Linked DNA regions of Oreochromis niloticus. The protein of the gene in region 2 binds, or shares a complex with, the protein of the main gene of each other region. Links are inferred from orthologs where the notes say so. Each region holds a gene or a part of one and is shown on either strand. Other genes may lie near its edges. The genes, in order: pigo, pigf and pigg.

The links.
Region 1: pigf (region 2) and pigo share a complex: the UniProt entries of both Homo sapiens proteins name them as parts of the ethanolamine phosphate transferase 3 complex. The link is inferred for Oreochromis niloticus from reciprocal best matches to the Homo sapiens genes PIGF and PIGO.
Region 3: pigf (region 2) and pigg share a complex: the UniProt entries of both Homo sapiens proteins name them as parts of the ethanolamine phosphate transferase 2 complex. The link is inferred for Oreochromis niloticus from reciprocal best matches to the Homo sapiens genes PIGF and PIGG.

What each region holds. Positions count from the first base shown.
Region 1 is NC_031972.2:28,372,146-28,382,495, forward strand, and holds the start of pigo (GPI ethanolamine phosphate transferase 3), read left to right. Parts: upstream 1-6,176; coding exon 6,177-6,294; intron 6,295-6,835; coding exon 6,836-6,979; intron 6,980-7,155; coding exon 7,156-7,279; intron 7,280-7,484; coding exon 7,485-7,644; intron 7,645-9,327; coding exon 9,328-9,510; intron 9,511-9,657; coding exon 9,658-10,350. Other genes in the region: stoml2 (stomatin-like protein 2, mitochondrial), read left to right, coding at 1,420-1,519, 1,632-1,690, 1,775-1,876, 1,963-2,097, 2,472-2,616, 2,726-2,805, 2,888-3,016, 3,127-3,252.
Region 2 is NC_031973.2:10,622,264-10,632,452, forward strand, and holds pigf (phosphatidylinositol-glycan biosynthesis class F protein), read right to left. Parts: upstream 5,088-10,189; 5' UTR 4,930-5,087; coding exon 4,702-4,929; intron 4,068-4,701; coding exon 3,976-4,067; intron 3,586-3,975; coding exon 3,469-3,585; intron 3,363-3,468; coding exon 3,254-3,362; intron 1,844-3,253; coding exon 1,730-1,843; 3' UTR 1,503-1,729; downstream 1-1,502. Other genes in the region: cript (cysteine-rich PDZ-binding protein), read left to right, coding at 6,765-6,780, 7,029-7,094.
Region 3 is NC_031966.2:32,764,931-32,775,587, forward strand, and holds the start of pigg (GPI ethanolamine phosphate transferase 2), read right to left. Parts: upstream 4,162-10,657; 5' UTR 3,861-4,161; coding exon 3,707-3,860; intron 3,607-3,706; coding exon 3,401-3,606; intron 1-3,400. Other genes in the region: guf1 (translation factor Guf1, mitochondrial), read right to left, coding at 6,611-6,745, 6,831-6,867, 6,966-7,085, 9,572-9,673, 9,944-10,077, 10,462-10,605.

The DNA.
Region 1 (10,350 bases), on a different chromosome or scaffold from region 2:
ATTTCAGATTCAGGATCTGACACAGACTGATTCATGTTCTACACAGTTCTTACAAGTTCATAGGAATTTCTGTTCAATTAGAACCAAATATTTGAGTTGATGATTGTAATTTTTATACAGTTATTGTAATTTGATGTTTTGTTTCCTTTACAATATTATACTTTAATGTACGATATTGTAAAGGAAACAAGACATCAGTCAAAAAATTGTTCTCTTTTTAATTCGGGCTACCAAAAACTGAAGCGTGCCTTCCCAAAGGGCTACCAGGGATTTTGAAATTGTGTGTGTGTGTGTGTGTGTGTGTGTGTGTGTGTGTGTGTGTGTGTGTGTGTGTGTGTGTGTGTGTGTGTGTGTGTGCAACTTTTTTTGATATTTGATATTTTCTGATATTTGCTTATCAAGTTGCACCTATTGCACCTGCATATTTTCTTACTTTCTTTTGGTAATTATTTATTCTTCCTACTGTTTCACTTGTTGTTTGGTAGCATGATGCAATGCCAAGACCTAAGTAACTGTGTTTCATTCATATCATGTCAAATTGTTGAATGACAATAAAACTGAGTCTGATATTTGACCACTCTGCTTGGCAGAATTGGGAGAGTTAATTTAAACTGGTTGGTTTCCTGACGTGGACTCAGCTTTTGTGCTTCATTCCTAAATTTTCAATAGGATTAAGACTGGGGCTATATAAAAGCCGCTCCAGAAATGTAATGTCAGCCTGTTTTATCCACTCCATAACCAGATTTGATGTGTGTTTTTCATTGTCTTCATTGACCAAATTGGTCACACTCTAGAGCCCTGTAAGACATCTGACTATCTTGTATTTTTGTACACTTGTTTGATGATCTTAGATTCTGCAGCTGTTTAGAAATGGCTTCAAGTTATCTTTCTAACTTGTGTAAATGTACAATTCTCCTTAGATCTTCACTGAATTCCTTGAACTTTCACATTGGTCTGAGTATTGGCCACTTCAGTGAGTGCTGTCAAATCATTTTAATGCTGGCAAATGGAAACTACCAGTTGTAGTCAGTCATGATGGCAGTCTTGGCCTTGTCAAGTTAAAACACATTGTAGAACCTTCAGCACCACTTATGAACACAATTAAGTGATTGTATGTTTATATTTGAGCCCGTATGTATACATACAATCCTACTTCAATTCTCATTTGTTTAAAGTAATTAAAGATGTATGCTGTACAATCATTCCACTTCAAAGAAATCATTAAAAGCCCAAACATTACCATGTCATTCATACCATGAACATTTTAGTGCATTTTATTTTGATAGACTACAAAAGAAACTTGCCTTTAAGCAACAATACTATAACTCATTTTGCTTTATTATTGGAACTATGTCATTAAAATTGAAAACATTATTCACTGCTGGCACACCCTAACATTTTCCCTTTTGTTATCTATAGGGTTTGAACTTCCTCATACCCATACTTGACAGAATTCGCTATGTTCAAAGTCTCAAAGAAATTGTGATTGATGTCCCAGAGCAGTCTGCAGTATCCCTAGGTAAGTAAAACATTGTTTATTTCTCATTATTCACAGGTGGACGAGCAGGCTTATTTTTTTAAACAGTATTGATTGTTTTCTTCATATTTTTATACTTTCTTTGAACTTGCAGATAATGTAACACTGCAGATTGATGGCGTGCTTTACTTAAGGATACTAGACCCTTTTAAGGTATGCTGGCAACAATTAGAACAGATCCAAATATCTTCTTTCTTGTTTTTTTTAAATTCACTTTATACTTTTGTTTGTTCACAGGCCAGCTATGGTGTTGAGGATCCAGAGTATGCTGTCACACAGTTGGCACAGACCACCATGCGTTCAGAACTGGGCAAACTCACATTGGACAAAGTGTTCCGAGTAAAGACAAACTGCTGTTTCATCTCATATCTTTTCTCTGTTCATGAAGGGACAAGTTGTATTTTATCTTTGCATTTGTTTTTAAGGAAAGGGAGTCTCTGAATTCCAACATCGTCCATTCCATTAACCAAGCTTCAGACGAGTGGGGAATCCGTTGCCTTCGTTATGAAATCAAAGATATACACGTTCCACCTCGTGTCAAAGAGTCCATGCAGATGCAGGTGAGAGAAACAAAAGAGCTTTTTGGAGCACAATTTTTAGTTTTTAATTCACTGCACGATCTTATGGTACAAATGGGTATTACATGAAAGTACAGCTTAGCCATCCAAGTACAGTTCATATCTTCAACAGAAAGCATAGACTTTTTGTAGTCGAATAACTTGTTTTCTTATATTGTGTTGGTTAGTTTGGTTAAGTTTAAGAGGTTTTACACTGATTCCTAAAAACTAGAGTTCATAGTACCTTAAAGAAATTATAGGTCTTTTCAGACAAGGTCAGAAACATTTTTTGCATATAGCGGTAGATATTTCAACTGTGGGGACAAGACTAAATCACTTAAATTTACTGAAGAGAACACTTTATTCACCCCATGTAGGTGGAAGCTGAGCGTAAAAAGAGAGCCACGGTGCTGGAGTCTGAGGGGACAAGAGAATCAGCCATTAATGTCGCCGAGGGTCGTAAACAAGCTCAGATCTTAGCCTCGGAGGGTGAAAAAGCAGAACAGATCAATAAAGCGGCTGGTAGGTGCATTTAGTTGGTTTATCACTCCAATTTCCACAAATTATCTCACATCTTTTTGCTTTTAGAGGCTAATATGCTCCCTGTTACCAACTACTCTGCTCCCTCCAGGTGAGGCCCAAGCAGTTCTAGCCAAAGCTGAGGCCAAAGCCAAGGCCATCCGTATGTTGTCAGAGGCTTTGACAGAGCAGGTAATGTTCTTTTCCATTTTCACAGTCTGACTTTCAAAAGAGTTTTCATTTAATCATGTTTTTTTTTTCCTTTTAAATTCAGAATGGAAATGCTGCCGCTTCACTAAGTGTAGCCGAGCAGTATGTGTCTGCTTTCTCAAACCTCGCTAAAGAGTCAAACACCATCCTTCTGCCCACTAACACTGGTGACATTAGTGGAATGGTTTCACAGGTATGTCTACTATCCAATAGTCCCAACTATTGGATTTATATGTTAACAGCTTCTAAATTATTAAGTTTACATGCCCCTAATGATGCTTATCTTGTCTTCTTGCCACTCAGGCTATGACTATTTACAGCACGCTGGCAAAGCCAAGCATGAGGGTAACTCCAGAGGTTGTGGAGGAGAACCGTGAAGAGGCTACGAACCAGTCGGGATCACCTCAAGAACAGAGAATTAATGAATGAACTCAAACTAATAAATGACACAGAACCAGAAGAAGCAGTTTATGTTGAAGGTCCACAGTTTGTTCTCACACAGACCTTAAAGAGACAGGACAAAAGGGAAAAATTGCCAACTTTAAAACTCTTCCGAAGCCTTGTCCTGGAGCCTGGGGGAAAAGTTACACCTTTTGTATGGGGATTGGTAATCTTCACTGTGTATGGTTTAATTAGTGTATGTTTGAGAAAGTAACACCAGCCTCCAGCCAAATACACAGATACCAGAGTCTATCCAGCTGACATGGATGTCAGCACAGACATGGATGCAAAAATAAGTCTCCCCTGAGCTATTTTATATTTTAATATGTTGAGCCCTTTTGACCTCTCTACCTGAGGTTTTTGTCATTGTTTTCTCACTTTGCAGCCTATTTTCCATGTTTTCCCAAATGACTATATTCAGGTTCTCTGAGATTATTAATAATTATATAATAATCAAAGCCAGCTCAGGTGAAAATATATACGTAGGTATTATTTACAGAAATAGGTGACAATTCTCCCTCTACTCTTTGTGTTGATGGGACCACCGACTTTAAGTTGCTGCATGTGATGTCTGGCTGGATTCCTCACAATGTTTCTAAAAGTGTATTAATTTCCCAGTTTACTACGTTTTTGGAAACATTACCCTATCGATAATAAAGCTGTATCCCCATGAAAAGGTTACATTAGAATTTCCTTTAGGAAAAAAAAAAAAAACTTTTTGAAATGATTAAGAGAGAATTTTTTTTGTCAAAGACTAGGTAATGTCCCGTGTCAGCTCGATGATCAAAATATTCCTCTCCTCCGAGTATTTGTATTCATATCTGATGTCTTATCGCCAGATATATTTATTAAATTTCAAGATTCACTGCAAAGACGAAGTTTGTTTTGTTATTTCTGTTTTCTACAAAATAATGGAATATGAACTGGGCAACTGGGCATGTTCAGTCTGAGAAGATTTGAAAAGATGTGGTTAGATGAAATATTAGGACAAAAATGTTCAAAATATGCAAACATGTTTAAAACTGTCAAATGGCTATAAAAATAAAAATAACACACCCATGCTGATTTAACAAAATCTGTAAAAGTAAATACTTTCGCCTATCTTGTTACCTGATAAACAAGATAGACAAACATGGAAAGCGCTGTTGGTTTATTAGCCCTCTACCTTGCCTTGCAGGCATAAACGTGTATTTACATGAACTGTGGGCAGTGACTTGCACTTGCCTCTCAGCAAAAAAAGATGAGCGGTCACCTGGGGCCTTCCTATGTGGATTGTGCGTGTTTTTTCCTGTACCTGGTTCTGTCTTAGGTCCTCTCACAGTCCGAAAACATCTGTTAGGTTAACTGCAGATTCTGAATTGGCTGTAGAGTATGAAGACTTATGTCTTTGTGAATTCTTGAGATGGTCATTTTCACCACTACCATCTTGGTGTTTTGAAGCCAGATGTAATGAGTGGTCTGAATGTGAAACCAAACGCTCGTTGATTAAATATTTGTCACGGAAAAGTTGGTAGCCAATGAGCTTGCCCTGGCTAATTTTTCACTCAACCCTTAGAAGATCAAAATTTATTAAATGGACTCAGTGTTTCACTGTTTCAAGATCTAAAGGCCATTTTCACAGCCACAGCCTTTGATTGTCTTTTTACAATCACAGGTTGTGGCTATTAAAAACAAAGGAGGCTTAACAAACTTGGCCACTGGATTCACTTTCTGCAACTGTAGCAGTCCAGGGTGCAACTTGCTTTTTTCCCAGTGACAGCTGGGATTGCCTTTAGTACCCCTAGCTACCCTAAATTGTATCAGTTAAGTCTAATTTGATTTTACGTTAATAAACCAACCAACAAAAAAAAACAAAAAAACAATATTGTAGTAGACAAAGATATGAAATATCATTAAATTAAAATGTTTGTGACCATTATTGATATTTTATAATAACTTTTACTAAACCTATTTCTAATCCATTCTTATTTAAGGGTGATTTCTCTGCAGAATTTCTGACGTGTTTAGCAATTTTCAGAGAAGCGCTAAAGCCGTTGTTCCCTGTAAGTCACAGAGCGGGGCAAAGCAAACGTATTCATGGTGTTACACAGAAAAGCGCCCGCCGTGTTCCTTCCACGCTAAGGTTCCTATCTACCACCAGTCATCTAATCTCATTGTACCAGAGTCCCAATGAAGGTGAGCGTGTTGCTCCGCTCTCTGTTTACCTGAGGCACCTGTGCTCCTGTGTTGTTAATACACACAGTCACCCCCAACGTCCGGCCGGGAGAGGACGAAAACTAGCTGCCACAAGGTCAGTGACAAAAGGCGAAGCGTGCTAGCTTCTGCTAACAGCGTTAACTTAACCGTCATTCATGTTAGCCACCTGTGCGGCTCAACTGCAAAAGAGGTTTTAGTTGGAGCTTAAAATTTCAGTCACCTTACACGTTATCTTCTTCTATAACAGGTGTAGCTCACAGGCAGCTGTTCCGCTCATTTTTTTGTGTGTTTGTTACCTCTATGTAAACCAAATGTTACTGTATTTCACCTGACCTGCTCTTACCTGTGCATGTAGGATGAAGGGGCTGCCTGTGCTGTCCCTGCTTTTCTGGATGTGTGCGGTGTTCTTCGTGGGCATCTACCTGTTCGTGGGTGGATTTTTGCTGGTCAGGTTGGAGGTTAACAGAACCAGCACCTGCGGAGACGTGCTCGAGCCCGGAGAGGAGCCGGTGGACTTCTGTCGAGCTCAGCCGCGCTTCCGCAAGGTTGTCCTTCTCATTATCGACGCCCTGAAGATCGACTTCGCCCGGTATGACCCCGACAAGACGGCACCACGACCTTATGAGAATAAGTTACCTGTGCTGGAAGAGACGGTGTCATCCAGGCCTTTACAAAGCCGCCTGTACCCCTTCCGTGCTGACCCACCTACGACCACCATGCAGAGGATAAAGGGGTTCACGACTGGATCTTTGCCGACGTTTGTAGATGTAGGTAACAACTTTGCATCCAGTGCCATCTTGGAGGACAATCTTATTCACCAGTTTGGACAAGTAGGTGAGTTATTACAAGTGTCTGTAAATTATAAAAATATAATACATTCATGTAAAGAGCTTTATGGGAAACATACAGATGAGGACAACGTTGGGATGTAGGGATTTTCAGCAAAGCATTTGCTAAACAATAGCCTCCCAGAAAGCAGACCTCTTTATTGAGCCACAAACCACTGCTATGGTCAATGACAGGAGACCATCAAATCTGGAGGAGCTCGAGAGATTTGTCAAAGAAGAATCAGTTGGGTTTGCTCAGAAGACTTGTGAGCTTTGCTGAAAACTACAACAAAAGACCACAGGCTGTTATCTTGCAAAAAGGATAAATAATCAATTATTAGCATCAGGAGGCTAATAATTTTGACCCTAATAGTGTTTGGTTTTGTTTCTGTGGGTAAAGTAAAGTAATATAAGCATCAATAATTCTCTGTTCATCTGTAGACATGCTCTTTTCTGCCTGGCAATACCACAAATCTAGGACTTTTAAAACCAGAAAACCAACTGTGCCATCTGATTTTGCTCATATAAATCTTTCTGTCTCTCAATAGGCAAACGTGTGGTGTTTATGGGTGACGACACTTGGGAGAGTCTTTTTCCTAAGAAGTTTTACCGCTCTCTGCCCTTCCCTTCTTTTAATGTCAAGGATCTCCACACTGTGGATAATGGGATTCTCCAGCACCTCTACAACACTAGTATGTAGTTACTTAATATGCATTTATTGTGCAATTAAAACCTACATTTAACAAATAGCCTCTGTTGCCAGGAAACTGTGCAAAATCAAAATAATTTTGCACCAACACTTGTTTATGCGGTTGATGTATTTGTGTTTCATCTCCTTTTGTTTGTCTCTTGCTGTTGGTTTTAATAGTGGTGGGCGATGACTGGGATGTCCTAGTGGCTCATTTCCTTGGAGTCGATCACTGTGGTCACAGGTTTGGCCCGGATCACCCAGCCATGGCTGACAAACTCACGCAGATGGATGGAGTCATCAGGTCAGGCAGTAGTACAGATGCTACATGCTTGTTTCACGCCATTATCCAGATGCAGCTGGATCATCAGCTGTTGCCACAGTGCACTTGTAGTGCTGTAGATATGTCATGATACCAGCACTATTATTGTAATATGTTGGCCCAGATCAAGCAGTTGAACATTAGAAAGCACCTGGCATGACCTGTGAAAACTCTGCTTTTCCTCTAGGTCTGTGATTGACCGTCTGCAGAATGACACACTCTTGGTGGTGATGGGAGATCACGGAATGACAGATACTGGAGATCATGGTGGAGAAAGTCAGAAAGAGACTGATGCTGCCATCTTCCTCTACAGTCCTTCTCCCATGTTTCATGGACCCCCATCACAGGTGGGTAGAATGCACCTTTTGAAACAATCCTACTGACATGCTGTGACTAATTCTTATTTAAAATAAACCAATTCTACATCACTTGAGTTTGTATAAAATATAAAAAATTAACAGTGAAGACATACTGTCATAATCAAAACAAATCACTAGTGTACGTTAACAAAGAAATTGTTAAATGACAGTTTTGGCCCAAGTGTATACAATATCCATCAATTCATTTTGTGCTGCTTTTCTGGGTAGCAAGAACAGCAATCCAAGCAGAGATGACTAGGCCTGATTCTCTAGCTCTCCTGGTGAGACACAGAGTTGTTCCAGAGCCAGCTCAGAGACTCACAATCTTCATTGTGCCCTGGGCCTAATCTGGGGTCGCCTCCCAGTAGGACACCTAACCAAGGAAGCTACCAGGAGGCATCATAGTTAGATGCCTGCACAGTCTCACCTGGCTCCTTCTGGTGTCAGGAAGTAGAAGCTTTATGCTGAGCCCATCCTAAATGACAGAGGTCTTCAACCCTATCTCCAAGACACCCTTTTGAGAAAGCTCATTTCTGCCTCTTGTAGTCTTGATGTAATTTTTGTGGTCACTACCCAGGGCTTGTTCCCATAGATGACTGTGGGATCCATGAGTAAATTCAGGGTTCAGCCCCCTGTTTATGACAACAGACTGGTACAGCATCTGCATTGCTGTGGACACTGCACCAATCTGTACAATGTCTGCTCCTCTCTCGCCTCCACATGAGGCACTAGATCATTCCCACTGATATACATAGTGTAGTGACCAGTGCTTATATCAGTAATTTAACTATGTAAAAGAACCGCTGAAAACTGCTGTAAAAGTCAGTTTAATTCAGAGTGAGAGTTGAGCACAGAACAAGAAGTTATGAGAGCACACTCATCATATTGTATCCCAGTAATGGGCAGTCACATGTTTAGTGGTAGAAACATTTCACTCTTGTTGCTTTTCAGACCAACACCATCAGTTCAGTCCACAAATGAGTTAAAAAGGAAGAACAAAGTCAAGTCAAATATATAACTAACACAACTGTTTTCAGTTACTTGTGTGTTTGTCTTTATCCTGTCTGCAAAGGCACATTTACGACATGTCGATCTCTCAGAATAACTGCTGTAATAAAAACATGAAGCATTAAACCACTGATGCATGCCCATTTCTGTTCATGCTTGGCTGTGCAGTTCCCAGAATCCATTAAATTGATGCTGGCAGGTGGTCTCCGCCTTTTTTTCATAGATAAAAGTGGATCTCGCACTAGAAAAGAGAGCTCAAGTACCGATTTCCATAATTGCAGCCTAACTGGAGAGCTATATCATATGCCGTGAAAAGTCATTAGATGCAAGAGAGAAATTACACTGCTATTTAAAAAAAGGCAGAACTTAGTAGACACTTTTTTTTTTCTTCCCCCCCCCCCCCCAGGCATTTTTGCCACTGCTAGGAAGTATTGCTGTTATCAAGCACAACCCTGATTTAAGAAAGGCTACAAGATAAAATATCACTCACTGAGTTTAACTGACAACCCAGCCTTGGAACAGCTAGTTATTTTGCTATGTGCTAAAAATATTTACTTCAAAATATCACAGATGATTATAAGGGTCAAAGCACAATTTAGATCACGAGAACACAGAATAATGTAATGTGACACATTTTTATTTTTCCCCCTGTGTATTTCCCAGAATGAACCAGATGTGGTGCCACAGACTGACCTGGTGCCCACCCTGGCTCTGCTACTAGGAGTTCCTATTCCGTATAGTAATGTTGGGCAGGTTCTCTTGCCTTTATTTCCACCGCATGAGCAGACAGAAGGTGCAGTTGGAGGTCTCAGCCAGCTGGAGGCACTGTGGATCAACACAAAACAGGTATGCTGCTCAGCAAAGAACTGTCTAGAACACTTTTTGAGCATCTGTACACAGAAAAATCTTTTTATATATTCACATATCCTGGAGCCTTTTCAGGAGTTGTTGTTTTTATGGTTTGTGTGTTAAATTTTATCTCTGTTTCTGAAGGTCAACCGTTTCCTGGAGACTTACTCTGGCATGGCCAAAGACATCCCACCAGAGAGCCTCTCTCGGCTGAAGAGTGAATTTGCCCTCTTGTCTTCTGAGTTTCTCAGCGCTGTTAGAGAGGGTCGTTCACCCTCCCCGCAGCTAGCCTCTTCTCTGCAGGCTTACCTCACCTCTGTCAGAGACACCTGCCGAGCCACCTGGGCCCGATTTAACCCACTGAAGATGGCGGCAGGTTTAGCCATCCTGGCATTTGCTTGTCTGATGTGTTTCATCTTGTCTGAACTGTCTCTAGTGCTGATCAGGGAGAACGGTGCATTACTGAAGACTCCAGTTGTTGTGTCACTGACAGTGGGGGTTAGTGTGGCTGCTGCTCAGCTACTCATACGGGGCTACATTGAGGTGATGTGGTGCCTTGCAGCTGCTGCTTTCAGCTCTGAACTCCTTTTCCTTTGGCGTTCACGCCAACTGAGCACCTCTACAGTGTCAAAAAACGGAACCAAAGCTCCAAAGCGTGTTAGCTGGCTGACCCTGCGTCATCTCCTAGTCCCCTCTCTCTTGTTTCCACTCCTTCGCTGTGCCTCTCTGCTCTCAGACAGCTATGTGATTGCAGAAGGCCGGGTTGTGACATTTTTGGTGTTATCCCTGGCCCTATGCATTCCCATCCATCTCAACTGGGATGGCCTACTTCTGCCC
Region 2 (10,189 bases):
TTCAGTCTGCTACTCTCTTTCAACAAAGCAGAAACATAACAGTTCTGCAAATACATGCATACCACAGCTGCCCTGCAGAAAAAGGCTGAGGAGAGAGGACGGGCAGGGAGTGACAAATTACCTCTCCTCACAATGCCCCGCTACAATAGAGCTGCCTGAGAACAAATAATGAATAAATAAAGTTCTCTGAGATCGAATGTGGGGAACAATTTGTGAAGCAGCAGCTTTTGTGTGTGTGCGCGTGAATGAAGGGCCTTGTGCGTGTCTCACAGATTGAAAAAACCACAGGTGACTGAGCGCACAAGCAAACCAACTTCAACCAGATTTCAGTCATCAGAGTAAATAGACTACACCTGCAAAAGAACCCTTAAAGGACTCAAAAACATATCTAATCTTAGCTTTTTTTAAGACTTAGCTTTTTAATACAAAGCACAAGGTCAGTGTAATACCTGTTTGATCATACCTTATGCTCTTCCCGAGCCCTCCTCTCCAGCTCCCCTGCTCTCCACATGTAATGACGCATCAGAAGTGAAGTGTAAAATTAAAAAAAAAAAAAGACAAGAAAAAGAAAAGCATGGAGCACAAGGGTAATAGAGTTAACAGCATGAGGTCGGATTGGGTTTCATCAAAGAGAAGAAGGGAAAGATTAGGCCATTGATTGATGCTGTAAGCATATGTAGACTTTCAAAGACTTTCCTCTGCTCCATCTTTCATCTGTTTCCTTCAGGCTGTTTTTTCCCTGGCAACAAGGAAGGAGTTCAAGCACAGGGCGATTGGGCAGCTTTGCCTCTGATTTTGTACTGAAACTTTCCAGCACAAAATGCTCAAACAGCAAAGATAACCGACAATTTCTTCCTCTTTTTTTTTTTTTTTAAATCATAGCCATGATTATTTATGTATACCAAGCGTTCAGACGATCTGCAAGCAACATCACTCATTTACTTTTCAATTTGACATTCCGGTCTGGAAAATGTAAGTTTCATTGCGGTGACTGGGTGCAAGGGAGGACTAAGAGATGTGGTGCGGCGTGAAAGGAGGAAAATTAATGTCCTCGAAATGAAAGTGAATCAATATGATTGCCCAAGGATGTGAAAAAGGTGGAATGGGAGCTGGGGCGGCGGGGAGGGTGTTGAAATAGAGTTGGAGCGAGATTAATGGTCGTTTAAAAAGGAACAGTATTCATCAGCAGTCGGCTTCAGGTGCAGAATAGCGTCAGTGTGTGTGTGTGAGAATGGAAGCCAACTCTGCAGCAGGTTTACATTTTCTCTTTAATTTTCTAACTTCCTCTCATGACTCAATAAATGGCCGCCCAACCACAATACTGATTACTTTGTATTTCACTGCAAATGAGCCTCAGTCTCTTGTTTTCATTAAAACTCTACTCACCTTCACATAAACACACACAGGTGGCGAACCAACAGCACCACCTGCAGGTTTTTCAGCGACACATCACTGACGTCGAATAGCTTTAATCGCCCAATTTCACAAGTAAATACACATCGTTACCGAAGAAAATATTTTATTACATTTAAAAATATTCAGTTTCAGCCATCACGTGTACAAAATAATACCTCTGAGCTGTTACAAAACTGCCAACCCTACAGGCTGCAAAGGGGGTGAATGCTCCCAAATAAATAATAAAAAGTGAGAGAAATTCAGCAGGATGAGGAGTCACACCATCGTGGATACATTCGCACAAGCACAGGCATAATACACGTGTGTCTGACTATCACTTGCACTTGTATGTGAGCTGTTTGCGGTGATAATGGATCCACGCTGGAGCTGCAACAAGCCCGGTCAAGTAGCCGAACAAAGAGCCAAAACTGCAGGAAACAGGCCAGACCTACAAAAACACAGAAGTAGTAGAAAAGTGAGCATGATTGTTCACTAAAAGCCTGACACTGGTCCGATACATCAAAGAGAAGCTGAACTATTAGTCTGTCAATTTGAGTTACACCCCAATTACCTCTGCATTTTCCTTCAGTCATTTTACACAGAATTCCCTGTGCAATTATAACTTTAATGTGTTCCATTTTCCATTAAAAAAACAATCTAATTCATTATTCATTGGCTGATTACTCTGTCCAGTGCTTAAAAAAAAAAAATCATCGTGATGGAGAATTTGGAAGTTAACAACTTAAATCAACTACAAAAAAAAAATGTGTAATTTACACCAGCTTTTTCACTCTGACAGCTACCACACCGGCTTCATGCAGGTTAGTGCCCAGTATCATCCTCTGGCACACTTGTGTTATATATCACCATAGCAACCTATCATTTCATTCCTGCTTTTGAAAGACAATCTTTACTTCTGTCACTACAGCACATCAGCCTGATGTTGCTGCTATTAATACACGTGTATTCCAATTTTTTTACTGTTTTCTCTTCCTTTTCTCCCCTTCTACAACACTTTTGCTACTCACCAACTAACAAAGCAGAAAAGTACCCATTTAAGGTCATTTTAAAGGTATTTTTAACGGAATAATGAAAACACAAGGACATCCACCTCCTCCATTCATCAAAATGAAACCAGTAATTTACAAGTCCATGCAGTTAAGAGGCCTTTGTGAATCCAGCAGTCATTTGAGAAAACCTCAGAAAAATCTAAGAGAGGCTTCGCGGGTAATATGGTTTAAATGGTCGTGTTAGTTCCCTGTCTTAAGAGCAAAAACTCCACTGTGGATAGAGAACATTTCTACATACAGTGGATTAGAGATTTAGTCAGACTCTCTCTTCCAAAGCAAGAAATATTCATTTTATTTGCAAAAAAAATTTAAAATTGACATTTGATTCTCCGTGCTTTAGTGGTTAACAAATTAAACCAGGGATGGAAAAGATCCCTGGTTTCAGACCAGAAGACACAAACCCAGCCTCGGGGTCACAAGCTCAGATAAATGTGAAGGTTGTGTCAGGAAGGGCATCTGGCACAAACTCTGTGCCAAATTAAACACGTAGATCCATCTGCTGCGTCGACACTTGGGGAAAGAAAAAGTACTGAATGTACCTTCATTGCCAGCTAATTTGCTTACAAAGTGCCACAGCCAGACTACTGACTGAGCCAGTTCTTGGGTTATTTTTATCTAAATGAAATGAATGTGTGTAGAGGAAATATCAGGAACCCGTTTATTAAACTGCAGCATGTAATTTAATGAAAAAGGAGCCTAAACATAAAAAAGTCACATGCTAGACTGTATAAGACCTAATGTGAGGATACAAATCCAAGAGTATACGCTTTGTCCATGCATAGAATTACCTGCCAGGGCCTATCCCAGTCCAGAGGTATGGGGAATGCTCCGACCCAGGCTCCAACAAGTGTGCAGGCCACAGTGATCTGCAGACAGGTGTCCCACACAGACATAGCTCTGGAGCCAGAGACAAAGAAAAAGCAAGAACAGTTACTATCTTCAACACAGAGTCATGTGAAAAGCCAGGAGGAAAGAAAAAGAAGGAAAATGATTTCAGCCTTACCCGTGGCGACTGAAGACTCGTATCCAGGCCTGGACGTTGGGGCCGAGGACACAGAGACACCTCAGCGTGGTTAACGAAGTCAGCAGCACAGCAAGGGAGAATGTTTCTAAGGCAGATCTGTAAGAAATGATAGGTTCACGGTATCAACGACAACTACAATAAGAGCGTTATTGACAGTTTTGTTTTTTGTTTAAAAAAAAAAAAGCACATAAAAAAGCAAGCAGAGACAAAGTAAAACACTTTAGATTAGATTAGATGAAACTTTATTAATCCCTCGGGTGGGTTCCTCTGGGAAATTCAGTTCACTTGACTTTTTATAAGTGACAGAATCATTTCAGGGTTTGAAGATTTCTGTAGTTGCCTGCTGTTTTCATTCATTTATGTGTGATCCTTCCATGGATCCTTAGTTTATTGTGTATTACTGTGGCGATCTCTGCTCTCTGCGTCTCTCTTTATCAACCTCTGTTAAACACATACATGTAAACACGAGCAAAAACAACAACTCACTCGATCAGTGGAGCTCCGTATAAGACAACAACAGTGTGGAAGAACAGGCACGACAGGAAGAAGTACAGGCAGGAGCGAAGCAACCTCGACAGCTGCAGAAAAAAAACAGCGAGAAAACAGTCAAACCTTTAAGATCCAGATATAAAAAGATCACTTCCTGGGAAAAAAGATCTTGGTTTGATGAACATGCAAGAGTCAAGTATTCACATTAATTTATATACAAATAAGTCAAGATGTTTTTCTTTTTTTGGAAAGGCAACTTTAATTTTACTTGCCATACCCTGGCCTGATTACTGCCAGACGTGTTGAATTAAAATATCACTTGAACAGAGTCTGTCTGACAAAGTGGAGTAGTCTAAGAGCAACACATTACACCACAATCCACAAACCACACACAAAGACTGGGCAAAAATGGCATCCATGGAAGAGTTCCAAGGACAAAACCACTGCTGACCAAATTTAAAACAAAAGCTTGTCTCATATTTGCCAAACAGCATCTTATTGATCCCCTTAGAATTTTGGGAAAATATTCTGTGGACTAGCAAGACAAAATTTGAATGGGGCAATTAGTGTTTCACATAGGGCCAGGTCGGTTTGGATCGCTTTCCCCCCTTAACAAATGAAACCCTCTTTTAAAAACTGCATTGATTGCACTTTTAAAAAAAATAAAACAGCCCATGTGGCACTGCACACATCACTCCATCATTATTAAAGCGTTATCAGCACCTTGTATCCCAGCGTGTGCTTCTTGGCGGGCGGTGTGATCCCGAGCAGCCAGAACACGGCCACGCTGACCGCGGTGACCGCAGCGGACACCGAGTAGAGCCACAGCAGGTGTGTGCCGTACACCGAGAAGCCCGGTACGAGCACAGCAGGTAGCACCGTCGCCATGAACACCGAAGCGGCGATGATAGCGTGAGTGGACGCCATGGCTCTGATTTCATGGTCCCACATTGTGAAGGCTGTAGCGAACTACAACAGGACACCGACAAATTGAACACAAAACACTTTAAACCTCAACGTAACGCTGGATTTGTAGCACAGGTAACATCCATAGATGAATCGCTTGACCTTGTTTCCGTAAACATGGAACCATGCTCACTTCCGCTTTCACTTCAAAATAAAAGTACAATACTTATTCCTTGTAGATGAGGCAAGACAAAGTTCAATAAAAGTACATTATAGTTTTAACAACTTTAAATATATTACAGACAGCCATGCATTTAGTATACATTTGTTGCTGCCACAGTGAAACGAAAAAGCTTTCATCCAAGACCATGGTGCTACATATAACAGTAAATCAACACAGGACTAATTAAAGTGCAAGTGTGCAAAAATGGCAAAAAACAGTGCGACACCAGATAGAGCAGAACCATACAGACACAAGATGGTGCAATAGTTTTACAAAAAGACTTTAGCATTGTGCAATAAGTACTTGAGGTAATGGAATGTATAAAGGTGTGTGGGTGTGTCAGTCTTGTCTCTGAGTATTCAGGAGTCTGACAGCTTGGAGGAAGAAACTGTTTTGTAGTCTGGCACTGAGGGCGTGAGTGCTTCGGTATGTCTTACCAGAAAGCAGGAGGGTGAAGAGTGTGTGTGAGGGGTGTGTGGGGTCCTCCACAATGCTGGTGGGTTTGTGGATGCAGTTGATTCAATAAGTGTCTGTGTTGGAGGGAAGACAGGCTCCAGTGATCTTCTCAGCTGTTCTCACTTTACGCTGTATGGTCTTGCGATCTAACACGGTGCAGTTTCCATACCAGACAGTCATGCAGCTGCTCAGGATGCTCTCGATACTCCCTCTGTAGTAGGTGGTGAGAATGGTTGGTGGGAGATGGGCTTTTCTCATCTTTCACATGTGAGACCTGGGCCAATGCAATTGGTCCAGTGTAATTCAATCCAAAGTGACAAAGGAGTCATTGAGACTTTTGTGTTTTTATATTTGTGTAGAACATTTTCTAATCCATTTTCAGATCTCTCAGCTGCTCCCTTTATGGGTCTGTGGATCATCTGCCTCCATCTCATCCTACCACTACCCTGCTCATCTGTCACACCAACCCTCTCCACCCTATCCTCCTTTACTACATCCATAAACCACCGTTCATTTTATTATTATTGTGGATTTTGTTTTAAGCCACTTTTACCACAGATTTTTTTTTTGTTGAAAACAAATTGTATGTTTGTGGTATACTTGTTTGAACATAATCCTTTATTTAATCAGTTTCCCTATTTAATCAGAACATGTGAACACTGTCACATGTAGCTAGATGTGAACCACTATTTATCAGTGAGGGCCATTCTTTTTCTACTTTCACTGCTATAACGTTATTCTGACGGGAAATAGAAAAATGAGATTCTTCAGTGTTCTTTAAACTATCTCTGCCTGACTGCTATAGTCGCCTACTGTTTGTAAGCTTTAAAAGTTTTTTATTATTATTTATTGGATTTAATTATTTCACACGTATTTCATACGTTATATTTCACACGTTATATTCACACGTGTGAAATAATGCAGCAGCAAACTTTTAATTTTTAAAGAAAACTTACAGGTTTTCGTCCACTTTACAGATGAACAGGGGAAACTGCAACCAATCACAGAACGGGTTACTTGGACCCTCGCCGAAGCGCAGTAAAGCTAACCAATGGCATCTGAGATTTGAAATCTAGGCTTTAACCAATCAATCGTTTGCGAGCTGCAAGGAAACGGAAGTAACGACCGGAAGTTTACATTAACAGAGAAAGCTAAACGCAGCTAACGCTTCTGCTTCTATTTTAACAAACAAAGAAGGACAATGGTTTGTGAAAAGTGTAGGTATCTCGCCATTCTCCTATCACTTAATTTATTTTAGATCTTCAATTCTAATGTCTTTTTTCCCGTTAAGAGAAGCTCGATGATCCTTAGAAAGCTGGCTAACGCTATGTGATGCTAACTGTTGTTATTACTGTCCTCACTGTTGTTTTGGTTCAGGAAAACATACCTTCACCTTCTAGGCTTATTTCCTTTAAATCCACTGCGTTGCTTTTGTTACATATGCTGCGTTGCTTTTTATCTCCAGGTGAGAAGAAGCTCGGTAAGGTCATCACTCCTGACACCTGGAAGGATGGAGCCCGGAATACAACAGGTGAACAGAGTAAAATCTGGATTTGTTTCAGTTCAATGGCATAATGTCACCAGTGTGCAAGGGCTGCTTGAATGACTTAAAACAAACAAAAGAAAAATAAGAATATGGTTTGTGGCATAGTTCTGGCTCCTTATTTGATTCCATCCACCTTATGCAGTCTACCAGTATCACTGGCAGCATTATGCTACCACCAGTCCTTTGCAGTATAAAAGTCACTTCAAATGAACGATGGTGTTCGAAAAGTTTCTAGTTCATGACCAATCTTGTGCCTTGGTGATTCCTCGTTTCCGTCCTCATTCAAACCTTGGCAAAGTGGTAGCACATGTAAGTAGTTTGTATTTACATACAGTTGTTTGAACTGACGATTTTGGAGTCCACAGTTGTTTAAAATTGCTCCAAGAAAAGTACCTAATTTTGTAAATCTACAGTTCTGCTTTTTAGATCTTCACCGAGTTCTTTTGACTTTCCTATTGTTCTGAGTATTGATGACTCCAATGAGTGTTGTAAAACAAATTATTTTTGTGTTAGCAAAGCGAAACTACCAGTTGTAGTCAATCATGATCACTGAGGAGGAGTTAAGAAGTTTTGGCCTTGTCAGGTTAAAATACATTGTAGAACATTCAGCACCATTTAATGAAAAACTTATGATAGTGTGTGTATATTTTTGATCCTGTATGTATACTTTTGACCCTGTGTGGATTATAGAAAATCCAAACCTGTGCACCCAATTCTTGTTTTTGTTTTTTTGTTTGTTTTTTTAAAGTCATTCAAGATGTGTTCTGTACAATTATTCCCTTGGAAAAGGAACAGTTGAAAGAAATAATTTAAAGTCCAAAATTACTATTACTATTATTCACAATGTACATACATGTACTTTGGAGATGACCTGATATCCAATTTTCTTTTCTTTTCTTTTCTTTTCTTTTCTTTTCTTTTCTTTAAAACCAGTGATAGTAACTCAAGAATATAAGCCTACAATCATCTCTGACTTGCATATCTAAAGGGCTTTTATCTGCAGTTTATGGAGGGCATGGAGTACAACATAACATACCAGCAGACCAAATCACAAACATTCATACAAGATTGTCGAACAAACAAGGCATTTATTTACAATCAATTTACAATAATAAAGTAAACAGAAAAAAAACTACTTATTTTTATTGCTAAAAAAGAAAAGAAGCACCAAGTTACATGTCAAAGCACAAATACAAAGCCTACGCTCCCTGCCTGGCCACAAAAGCTTCTGCTAACATACAGACAAGTTTAACCAAACACAACAGAACAGAGCAGGTCCCACAGGTTTGCCACAGTTCAACTCCCAAGATCACTATAAGTAATCCTGAATCAACATGCATCTCTTAGCTTGGTGACTAAATGCAAAGGGGCACTTGCTGCTGGAGCTAATTACATGGATTTTACAAACAAGCATAATCCCGTACGGCTCTGGCAGTCAGGTGTGGGAGAACTGCAACAAAGACAGGCGAGAGCAGCTGTCTTTCATGAAGTGGCCAAACAATCGGAGGGCATAGCAGACATATAAAGAACTGCACTGATGTATCATGAGATTAGCAAGTAAACTTTTTTAAATGGTTGAATATGTTTTAAACATTTATACATGTTATAATGTGACTCTATGAACTTTAAAAGTTCTCATTTTAGTCCAATTTTTAGAATTTAACTCTTAAAGTAAACTTCAACTAAATTCTTACCACTAGATGACACTCTTTAACCATTAATTGTTTATATAAGTGCTGCTGAAGTGAGAAACAAGGAAATACCGGGTTTGCCCTGAGATTAGTGTGGTACAGTGGTTAGCACTGTCACCACACTACAAGAAGGTTCTGGGTTCAAACTTCTTCTGGGAGCTGATGTGTCTTCCACAGTATGATAACATGCTTGTTAGGTTGACTATAAATCAGTTGTAGATGTGGATTTGAGAGTGAAAAGTTGTCTCTCTGTGTTGGCTGTGTTTGCTGTACCGTGTCTCTCACGCTATGACAGTTGGATAAGTGGTTAGGAAAACACTGATAGATGGCCTGAGATCTGCAGCTATGATGTGCTAATCACACAGAGCAAATGTGTTGTTATTGTAAGGTGAACTCCACTGAGCCTAAGCACTGAGGACTTGATGAAGGCTATAACTATAAGGCTATAACTTTTAATGTAAAGCTACTCTCAAGAAAGCATCTTATTAGCATCCGTTACTAGTAATTACAGAAAAAAACATGAAAGGAAAGAATAAAGATTTTTACCCACTTAGCTGATATCAATCATTGCTCTATGAGAACGGTTAACTGAGATCCAGTGCTTCCTGGCTTGTATAACCTTTCTCTTCATATTGGAAGTGGGAAATAAACTCCCCAAACAGCTACCTAAACAGGATCTGAGAGTGGATCACAGTACATTAATCAATCACTGTCCCTGTTGCACGGGCTAAACAACTTTTTTTTGGCCAAACACCGTGCAGTATAAGTAAAATTAGACAGTTAGCACATGGCTGACATTACCAATAACCTCGCTCATCTTTCCTGTGCAAAAGCACAGAAGCACAAAGAAAAATGTCAGTTCTGCATAATTTATTCCTTTACTACAATCCTGCAATCCTGTAAAAAACTAGGGAATTAAGAGGGTAGGTAGCATTCAGGTACTGATAATCAAATCCATTTAGTTTTGGTTTGATCATCAACAAGTGTGAGCATCTCTATAAAAGCATAGGTTTTAGCAGTTTGCCTGTCTGGAGCATTCAGGTGTATTTTAACATGATGCCAAGGAAGAAAGACGTCAGCAATGACCTTAGAGAAGCATTTGTTGATGTTCATCAGTCTGTTTATGGTTTGATCATTCTACAGTGATTAAAAATTATTATAAAGTGGAAAACATTCAATCTTCCCAGGAATGAATGTGCCTGCAAATTCACACAAGACCAGAAGAAAGCCTCTTTTCTCTAACACAAACATGGCAGCACAGCTTAGGTTTGCCAAGTTGCATCTGAACAAACCAAAAGACTTCTGGAGCAAGGTCCTTTGCATAGAAGAGATCAGAATAGCCATAAAGGGTCTGGGTGCCGTTTGCCCCTCTGGGGGCGAGGGTACCTG
Region 3 (10,657 bases), on a different chromosome or scaffold from region 2:
CCCGACCCAAAAATACAGACAAGCTGAAGACTTTTATCAAAGCAACCTGTGCTTCAGTAACACCTCAGCCTCCATGTCATAACACACCCATGCAATAGTTTGTGTTAACGGAGGCCCAACCAGTGTCGAGTGTATAAATAAACTTGCTTTTCGAGAAGTTGGACATTTCTTTATTATAAATCATTCATTGATTACTAAATTGATTACAATACTAAAATAATCTGAGATAATGAATTCCTGATTTTAATGAGCTATAAGCCACAATCATCAAAGTCCAAACAAAAAAAGAATTGAAGTATTTCCCTTTATGTTTAATAAATACAGAACATGTAAATGTTGACTTTAAAAAAAAAAGACTCTTTCTCTACCCTCCATTCTCCACCAGAGTTACTTTTTTGTGCCTCAACCTCTCATCGTGTCCACTGCCTAACCAACACATGCTTTCTGTCACCCTCACTAATCTGAAGATTGCCGAGTCAGCACTCTCACGCCTCCCATGCCAGACGCTACAGAGGAGAACTGTGTCCATACTGTGAACCTTCAGCAGCACGTTTCTCCAGGTCTGAGTTTGTATAGCAGTCTCCTTCTGTTAAAACAACTCGATGCTGTCAGCACATCCTCGATCCTCCCACCGCAGACCGCTTCCTCTAAGGCACAGGCTCTGCTTTTAATTTTGCCCTCTGACACTCAGGCACACATATTCTGCTTCACCTGACAATTTCAGTTAGATGCCTTCCCCCAAGCTCAGCACTACCCGACACCCATGGACAAAAGAGGGCTGCTCTTTTTCCCCGAAAATCATTCCCTTTGCAAAATCTCTTCAATACCACTGACAACAGCGCCTGACTGAAATATCAAGCTGTATATCACAAACATACAGGTAAAGGTTTTTACGTTGTCCATTTTGCACCAATATAAACACCTTTTATACGATTGCAGATTTTGAAATGGTTAGCCCGTCACACAGCTCCTGTTTGCAGCACATGTAGCTGAGTACCGATCACAGACGAGCAGGGGGGATTTACTAATAAACAATGACTCCATCTCTCTTTTGTAAATGTACATATAATGCTATTGGCTGATGATATCAATATCAGATATATTCCCTAAAAAGTATCAGCAAGGGCTCCAGGTAGGCTTTAATTGGTGGTGTGCTCTCTGTCTGTCTGCGATGTTAACGTGTTACAGCACAGCAGACTGTCATGAAAGGTGCACATGACATGACTCCAACTCCCTCCTGGCTCCGCTCCCAAAATACTCTCAGCAACATGACACATCATCCAAATGTGACAACACACCATGTTTTCACGCTTTCAGCCATCTAACCCTATTTTCAGACACGGGCTGAAAACTTAGAGGCTAATTCAAAATGTTCCTCACAGGTTCTTTTTACAAGCTTATTCTGGGCTCACAGAAGTACTGCCATTTCTAGCTTAAACACCTCTGATCATGGAATGATTTAAATCCTTCTCAGTACAAGTCAAAATTACAATCCTGGTCTTCACCAGTTTCACGTTTGTCTACAATCAAATTATTAAGAATCTGCAATTCTTAAAGGTGCTTTTGGGTAATTGCACTATGTATATATTGTTGTATTACCAGATCTTTGCACACCTCAATCACAGAACTCTTTTAAACCGCCCTAATAAATCAGGTTGGCACCAGAATCAACCTTCTCAAGACGTTCATCCATATCTAAAACAGTGATTAAGATCCTTTTGGGTGAAGATTTGGAGCTTTTCTTCATCTCCACCCCAATCACTGGTGGTGTACCTCAGGAGTCATCTTTAGGAGCTTTTTTGTTTATTTACATGTTCACTTTAGGCAAAATTTTTCATGAGCGCAATATCTCATTTCACTGTTATGCTAACATAAAACAAATATAGTAGTTTAATCATTAGTAGTCAACCTGCATAAGTTCCATCCTTAGCTGTCTCCAGGAATTTCATCTGAATTAAGTGCAAATAAGACAGAAGTTAAAAACGTAGCACCACCTTACTGGGTGGTGCTAAGTTGTTTTTTCAAGCTGAAGGAATTTTCCTAACTTAAGTCCATTCGCTCCCTTAAGGATATTAATACCAAAAGTGAATACGCACAAATCTGTGTGTATATCATGCGTACGAGCATTTCACACACAAATCCATCATTTATCAACATTTTCATACCTGAATTTGTTCATACTTTAGGAACAAATGCGAATCCTGTGTACAAACAAATTAAAGCCTGGCTTCCTTAGGAATTTAAACACAAGTCTTTAAAATGAATACTACTGCTACCACTAATAATAATAACAAGAATAAAAATAATAACTTTTATTATTGCATTTTGGTTATTATTTATAGTTTCCTATAACAGCATGAACCAGAAAATGTTCAGAATTACAATAAAATATTTTTTAAGACAAAATACTAAATGGAAAGGTGCAGGCTTTAACCTTTTTGATTTAAATATATTCCATTATCAGGTATCATATCATATATTAAATGTTCTTATCTTTTATTAAAAATGACTTCTATCATTGCTAGATGTCACACACTGTAGAATTTCTTGGCACTATTCCATGGATGCTGGAGATCTGGATTTTTTTTCTCTTTCATTGCAGTGATTTTCTCATCTGAGCTCTTAGATATTGCCAAACAATTGTTTCACTATGAGTAATAGTACGCAATCAAATGCTCTCCATCCACCGAATTTATCAGAAAGATTTGAAGACATTTATGTTTTCTATGGTTTTTGCTCGCTTCCAATTGTCTAGCTATTTTCTTTTAATCAAGACTTATACTATCCACAAGCATTTTAAAGTGTTATATTTTATTCTTCCTCCATACTGTTTTATTATGTTTCCTGTCTTGATTTCTCGCACTTTTTTTAACTGTCTGTTCACATAAACGCCCAATTTTCTCGTTAGTGTGAATCAACAGATTTCTATAAAGCACCAAAACAGATGAGATTTAGGGATGTTGTTTAAATCTGCATTTGAGTTGCAAAGCGGACAAAATGGACAGTAAACTGAGCATTAATACTGAGCCTGGGTTTCATGCCTGCAATGGAAAATATTACATGCCTTCAGCACCATAGAGAAAGCAGAGAAATTCGTGTGTATTTAAAGAAGAACTACAATGTTACAAGGTTAGGTTAGGTATGAACAACTGAATATTCCTGGCATCATCCGCTGCATGTTTTCACTACATAATAAAGTGCTAATGTAGAGTTTCAGAGATGCAGATTTATTTGTGGAGTTGGAAAGGATTTGAGAAATGCTGACAGTTTGGATCCAAGTGGTTGACTCACTACAGCAAACGCTAATCCAGAATTCTAACAGACACACGCCATGATGACAGACAGTGGACAGATTTGATGGGTGAGCTCTCATTTCAACATCATGCTAGTGGCATCCTACCTTGATCCTGGGCATAGTTACTGTAGGTGGTCTCGCCTTGGCCACAAAGCTGTGTGATGAGCCTCTTTCCACCACGTGCCTTGTGTAGGGCATATACATACGACCATTGGGTCCAAACACAAAGTCCTCTCGGAGGGCATCCACTAACATAATAACCACCCTTTTAAACAGGGGCTGCGGGAGGCGCGATGAATTAGGAGCGCTTCCTGTGAGGTTAAAAGAAAGCTTATGAGTTTTAACAGATTTAAGTCAACAGTACAGGCAGAAGAGAGGAGTGTGAGCAGATGTGGATGAGGCTGGACTCACCTGTCAGCGGCTCGGCTGGCAGATCTGACAGCTTGCTCTTGGATGAGAAAGAAGACTTGACAGGTACGGGGAAAAATCCCCGCAGGAAAAGTGCAATGCCAATCACTTCGAATATTAAAATAAAGGAGGCAAAAACAGACGAGCGGACCTTCATGGTGTTGGCCGACGGACACTTTAGGAAAACAGTAAGTTAGGCTACAGGGATAACTTGCTAGCTAGCAACCAATATAACGCTCTCTACTCTGTTTACTTAAATAAAAAAGAGCAGAAAAAGTCATGGTATCCCATTTCAGGTGGAAGCGCTGTGAATCAAAATATTAAAAAGCTACGTGTCAATGACCTGTAGTTGCGTGGTGTATATGTGGGCGTATTTTACAATAAAAACACTACCAGCAGTTAGCACTGTGTTCATTCATAGCTGCTTCCGCATTGATAGCATGAAACTACGGGTGGGACTTGGAGCCTAACAACACCAAATCGCGTTTCCTACGACGCTTGCTTGTCAGAGTGACACTGTTATTGTAAGGTCTTCACCTTACTATATAAAGCACCCCGAGGCAACTGCTGATGTGTTTTGGTACTTTAAAATTGAATTGAATATTACAGTTTTATACACACACACACACTATGACTTTCTGTTTAATTATAACGAAAGTTTTCCATCTGAATGTTTGCAATTATACTGTAGTACTGTTCTCAATAGCTTCCATCTCAACAGCAGAAGCAGTTGAAAGCTATTACTTGTCTGACAGCCACATAAAAACTGCCTGTTGGCAAACCTATGGCCATTCATTCCCTACGTTCCTGATTAATGGGCTCATTAGTCATCCGTCAGAGTCGTATGTGCTCTCCCTGCTATGCTGACAAAATGTGAAGGAAAAACAAGCCTATAATCTGTAACAGTCCACGCAGATTAATAAGAAGTGTTCCTCTCTTGAATCCACTACACGCGCTGAAGTACACTTTGTGAGCGTTTGTCCTCCTCCTCTTTACTGCAGCAAAATGCCAGCTGGTCCCTGAATTGGATTTGCTTACATTGCCTAAGTACAAAGGACAGCACTTAGAGGCAATGAGATACTTTCATCGGGGAAATGAACTGCTGGGGACAGTGTTGAATCTTTTGCACAATTTAAATGTGACACTGATGTGGTCTGACGCTGATGAAGCCTGATTGGAAATTAGCTGGGGACGGAATTAACTTCCACCTTACGGTGTGCTTGAGCTCCTGCTGCCATCTACTGGAAAAACAGGATAGACAACAATGAAGTTAGTTTTCCCCTAGAAACGCAGCATGAATGATGCGGAATATAAATTGTACTTCTTCCCTTTTTTTCATCTGAAAAGGTCTAAAAAACAACAAATAAAGACGTAGTAAGTATGAAGGACTAGGTTCTAAATAATATTGATAGGACCATGGGGTAAATTTAAAGTGCAGGTTGTTTTCCTAAACAAAGATGGTTTGATTTGAGTTATGCTTGCATTGAAGCACTGTTAACTGATGAAAATGTCCAATCAGGCTTCATCAGCGTCAGACCACATCAGTATATTTGTTCATAGTACATCTGTATATCTGCCCGTCTGTACAGCAAACTGTATTTCATTACCCGTATTTATACATATGTAATGACAATAAAGTTGAATCCTAATCCTAACACATCTGATGAAAGCCATTCTTTCAATGACCAAAACAATATCCTGTCAAACAAAAATAATTTACATAAATCTTTTATGAAAGAAGGACAAGCAATCATGTTATTCACCGTGTAACTCTAAAAATCAGAATGCTTATATAATTGTGGAGGTACTACTTCATGTCTTCTACCAATCTACCAATTTACTGAACAATTTTCTGGCCAAGTAAAGTTGTGAAATGTGATTTCATGATTGCGGACGATTTGTTTTTTTCTCTAACTAAAGCTTAGAAACAGTGAAGGTGGTTAAAGTCACTGATGTTTATTACCAATCAAATCTGTGAAAACTAGTACTTATCTAGTTATACCAGAAAATATTTTAAAATTGAGTCATTGCCTTTTTGGAAAAGGTGTCATTCCTGAAGTATTAGTGATCCCAGCTATCAAAGCATTTTCATTGTCACGTAAAAGTGTCGTCTAGGACTACAATAGGACAGTGGCTGTCTGCATTTACTACTAACTAAAGCCAAACAGCCAGCGAAAGCAGTCTGATAGTTTCTAGTCTGGGAAGTTCCACATTAGGATAATGAAGGATGGAAATGGCATCTATATGTTTTTTTTCTTTAAAACGCCGAGTGTCAGTGCCTTCCTCGATACTGTGTGATACTTGAAAAAAAACAAAACAAAAAAACATTAGTAACTGCTGTACGTGATGGCACCAAAGATAATGCGTCATTTTCAGGTGTAACAGAAAGCAAAAGTGTATTTTTCCCCTAAGTCCCTTTGACATACTTGAATTGAGTTGCCATGGCGACCGTGCCCTGCTGAACTGCTTGGCCTCCTCATTGCGGCTCCCAGTTACATTTCTATATAATTCTATAATTTGATCAGGGCGCATACTGAACAATATAGCAGGTAGATGTTGTACAGAACTGTACTATGTGAGCTCCTCGTTTTACTTCCTGTTGAACCAGTGTGGGGTTTTGACATTTCAAACATCTAGTCATTCTCCTGATTGGTTTCACTGCATTTATGTAAATGTTACAAGTATAACTATAAGTTATAACTATAATGGTCATGAACATGAAGGTGTAATGATGAAAGAATGGTTTGTAATGTTGGTGTTGTCTGAGAGAAAAGAGCCAATAACTTGTGACACATGTACAAATAAGGATTTTCACTCCAGTTTGCAGAACTTTATTCAAAGAAAAGGTAACAGAGCCTTTCAATAACAAAAACCTGCTCCATGTTGTTTCATACGTAGTGTCACAGTCTATTTTTCTTTCCTCTTCAGAACACTAATAAAGGCATCTTTGGGAACTTCCACATTGCCGATCCGCCTCATCTTCTTTTTACCTTCTGCCTGTTTCTTCAGGAGCTTCATCTTCCGTGTAATGTCACCTCCATACTACCAAGACAAAAAAAATGATTTTAAGGCATCAGTGGTATATTTGGACTTTTCTAAGAAGAAAGAAAAAACAAGCTTTACTTACACATTTTGCGAGAACGTTTTTTCTATACGCCTTTATTCTGGAAGAGGCACGTGTGGTCATACCACATATTAAATACAGTACTTTACTTTTGATTTCTACACATCATTTTAACAAAATCTTAGCTCTTGTACTTACGTTTCTCTTGCAATGACTTTACTTCCAATAGCTGCCTGTATGGCAATCTCAAACATCTGCCTTGGGATGGAGTCCTTTAGTCGCTCACACATGGCTTTCCCTGTACTGTACGCACGCTCCCTGTAATGAAAACACACTTATCAGAACAAATCATAAAACTGTTAAAGTACTGACGGGTGCCCATATATCAGCTTCACCCTGACAGGTAAAGCTGATGAAAAAGCAAATGAGAGTGGAGCATAAAGTCGACTACCCTCACCACGTCACCTTAAAATACAGTAGTGAATACTGACATGCCCGTGTGTCATTTACAATTAATCAATAAGCGTTCTGTTTGGGAGGTCAGCACAAAATCAAACCGTGGTTGAAGCCAGAGGACTCACGGTACTTTGAAATTTAAACATTTGTCCTTAAATCTAGAGTCCTAGCTTAAAAACAGACTGTGGAAAAAGCAGCATTATTGGTGGGTCTGTCCTCTAAACACTGCAGAATGCAAAGCTGGATTTTCACCAAAGTCAGTTTGACACTTGAAGTTTCACTAAACACTGTCCTGACCAATATAATATTTGGTGATTTAAAAATCCAGTATATGAAGCTGATATTTTTTTCTTTCACAAAACAAACTGATTTCTTGAACAGTTGATATGTGTAGTTATTTATGAGTCCCTACTAAGATAATATGACAACGCAATTTAAAGTTTGGTTGTTTTTATGGCTTTAGAAACATGTTGCCGACAGGGAAGTTGCAGAGTGCCCTCTGGTGTATAAACTGTGTAACACCAACAGTCCTAACATGAATGAAGGGTGTTTCTCTCATCTCCGCTTCACTTTTTAACTTTGCTTATACAGGTTGTTATAAATGCAGATACCAATTTATCAGCAAACAGCTGATATCGTCTGGGCTCTAAGCTGTTTGAAGTAGGTGAAGTTTTCTGTTTTCTGTTGACACACCAGTGCTGGTGCAAGGAGAGACTTCTGAATGCTTTAGCTCACATCACAGAGACAGACATCAGCTGAGCGATTGAAAGGAAACAGTTAAAAGTCATAACATTTGTCTGATTTATTTTCTTACACAATTATCTTATTTAGAATAATTATGTTGTGCAAACTCTTTCAGACTGTTTTTGAACATGTAAATAACACTAACTGGAAGCATGCATACTCAAAAGCTTCAGTTATGTGTCCATACCTTGTTTTTTTTTCCTTTTTCACACAACAATCAAACGTGATATTTGCCTAATTTAAAACAGCGCTACTAAGAAGATACTCCAAAGAGCTTGCATAGCTCTGTCCAAAGTTTTAAAATTATGCTTTATATTAGTATTATATAAAAATATAATGTCTGTGAAGGTTCTCAGTCATCCAGGTCATGGTTATCTAAGGAGCTTTAAAAGAAAAGCGACTGGACTTCTTGAAGTCTTTTGAAGACATTTCATCTATCAGCCAAGGTTTCAGGTGAACCCACTGTGAGAGCCTGGCCCACCCTAACCCTTTTGAGATCCCTTCCTAGACGCCTTAACCCCCACTTACATAAGTCACATGATAGGGTGGGGCAAGGTCTCACAATGGGTTCACCCTTATAGTGGTCCACATCAGTTTTCACACCCTGGGTCATGTGATTAGGCAGATGATCAATAGTGGGTCAACGACCCTCTTAAGGACACTCCCAGTAGGGTTTAAAAATCTGGGACTCTCCACCAATTACCTTTAGAACTGAAGAAGCTTCTCGGATGAGAGGTGAAACGTCTTCAAGAAACTTCAAGAAGTTCAGAAGCTCCTTAGATAAAAATACTTATTAATAATATATATTTACTTGTTTGTTTATTAGTAAGATATGTTAAGCCCGTGTAAAAATGAAAAAGCTTTCAGTTTTCTCGTGATTTGATAAAATGAACTAGGGTCAGTTAGCTCCATCCTCTCAAATGAAGCATGAACTTTATCACCCATCTCTTTGGAGAAACTGGATCGTACATTTTCTATACATCTGTTTTCAAACTGTAAGATATGTTAATGACTTCTCTACTTGAAAAGGTGTAGAGAACACGCCTCCAATAAAAGACATTCTGCTCTGTGATTGGTGCGTTGGCCTTAAAGAACAGACCGAAGCTTCGCTCGAGTCGGCTGAGCTCCAAGGCTTACTGTATAAATTGTCTGAGAGTAGCCATCATTGGCGAAGCGTAGCGCCCTTCAATTACCTACGTCTGTGCTGGCTCCTGTACCGCCTTTGCTAGTGAGTACATTAAACACAGATCTTGCTGAGCGTCATCACTTTTCTTCTGTAAAGTTACTCCTTTGTCCTTGTCCAGTGTGTAAAGTCATGTTAACAGCAGCTGCCAAAAGACCTTTTTTTCTTAAATGTTAACCATAGTGCTGAATACATTTCATGCTCCACAGGCAAAGAGTAATTACTATAGTAATGAAGGACTATATACTGTAACCTTGCCAGTAACAATAACAATGAAGGTAAGAATATGACCAAAAAAATAAATAACAAGGTGCTCTTAAGTAACATCCAGTCACATGTCCTGGCCAAAAAAAGTAAATTATTCAGTGAAAATTAACACAAAAGTCTCAATTTTTACGTCAAAGCATTATCTGAAATGTACCTGTGTACAACTGTGGTCAGCTCTTCTACTGGGCGTCCATTCAGCAGAATATCCATCTTTATCAAATCAGCAGCCTGGTAACCTGCATTCTCATAATCAAAGCTGCACAACATAAAAATACATAAGGTGCACAGGAGAGGCTACGCCATTAGAGTGCATGGAAAATAATTTTACATCAAAATTAAAATGAATTAATAACCTAATGTGTGAAACTTTTTTTAAAACTTTTAACATTGGATACAATGTAACAATGGATACTTTCAATAATCTACACTTTCTTTCTATAACTCTTAATACCGAAATACTGCAGATGAAACCTACAAAATCTATAAAAATCCATTACACAGTGTATTTACATAACACTGGCTTTACCTGGCGTATCCAGATGAGAGTGATTTGAGGAGGTCATAGAAATCCACCACAATTTCATTTAAAGGGAAGAGATATTTCATCATGACACGCTGGTCATCTATGTACACCATGTTCTTCTGGACCGCCCTGCGATTCTATAAGAACACAAACCGTTAGTCTGACATGTTATTGATACACCAACTATAACTTTATTGGTTATTTCTGAAACAGAGGAAGGCTGCATGGAGACAAAAACACCTGAAAATGTCAAGTTTCATCGGAAAATACGTTTTTCATAAACACAGACGAAAATTCATTCTCCAGTTTACAGTATTATTGGTCCTCTTTGTCATCAGACCAGTTTGTAAAGAGTTAAAAAAAATTGTTCTCCCACAATTTAAATAAGATGTTTACAAAGTAGAGCGATATTATAATGTTAAAATAGAAAACTAAAATAACTTGTACTGAGAATAAATTCAGGTTGAACTGCAGAAGTTTTTTTCTAAATTCCATCTGTATTTTTCCAATTTCCTTCTTACCAAACACAGAGTCATAATCTTGCCAGTGTAAACATCTGGAGTGAGAATGGTCCCCAGGACCATGGGCTCCAAATACTCTGACACGACCGATCTGTCGGGGAACTGAGCGGGATTCACAATGGTTATCTCCCCACTGCCATGTTCCTGTAAGCAGAAGAAGGTTTGAACATTGTAAACCATATTTATTTCTATTTTC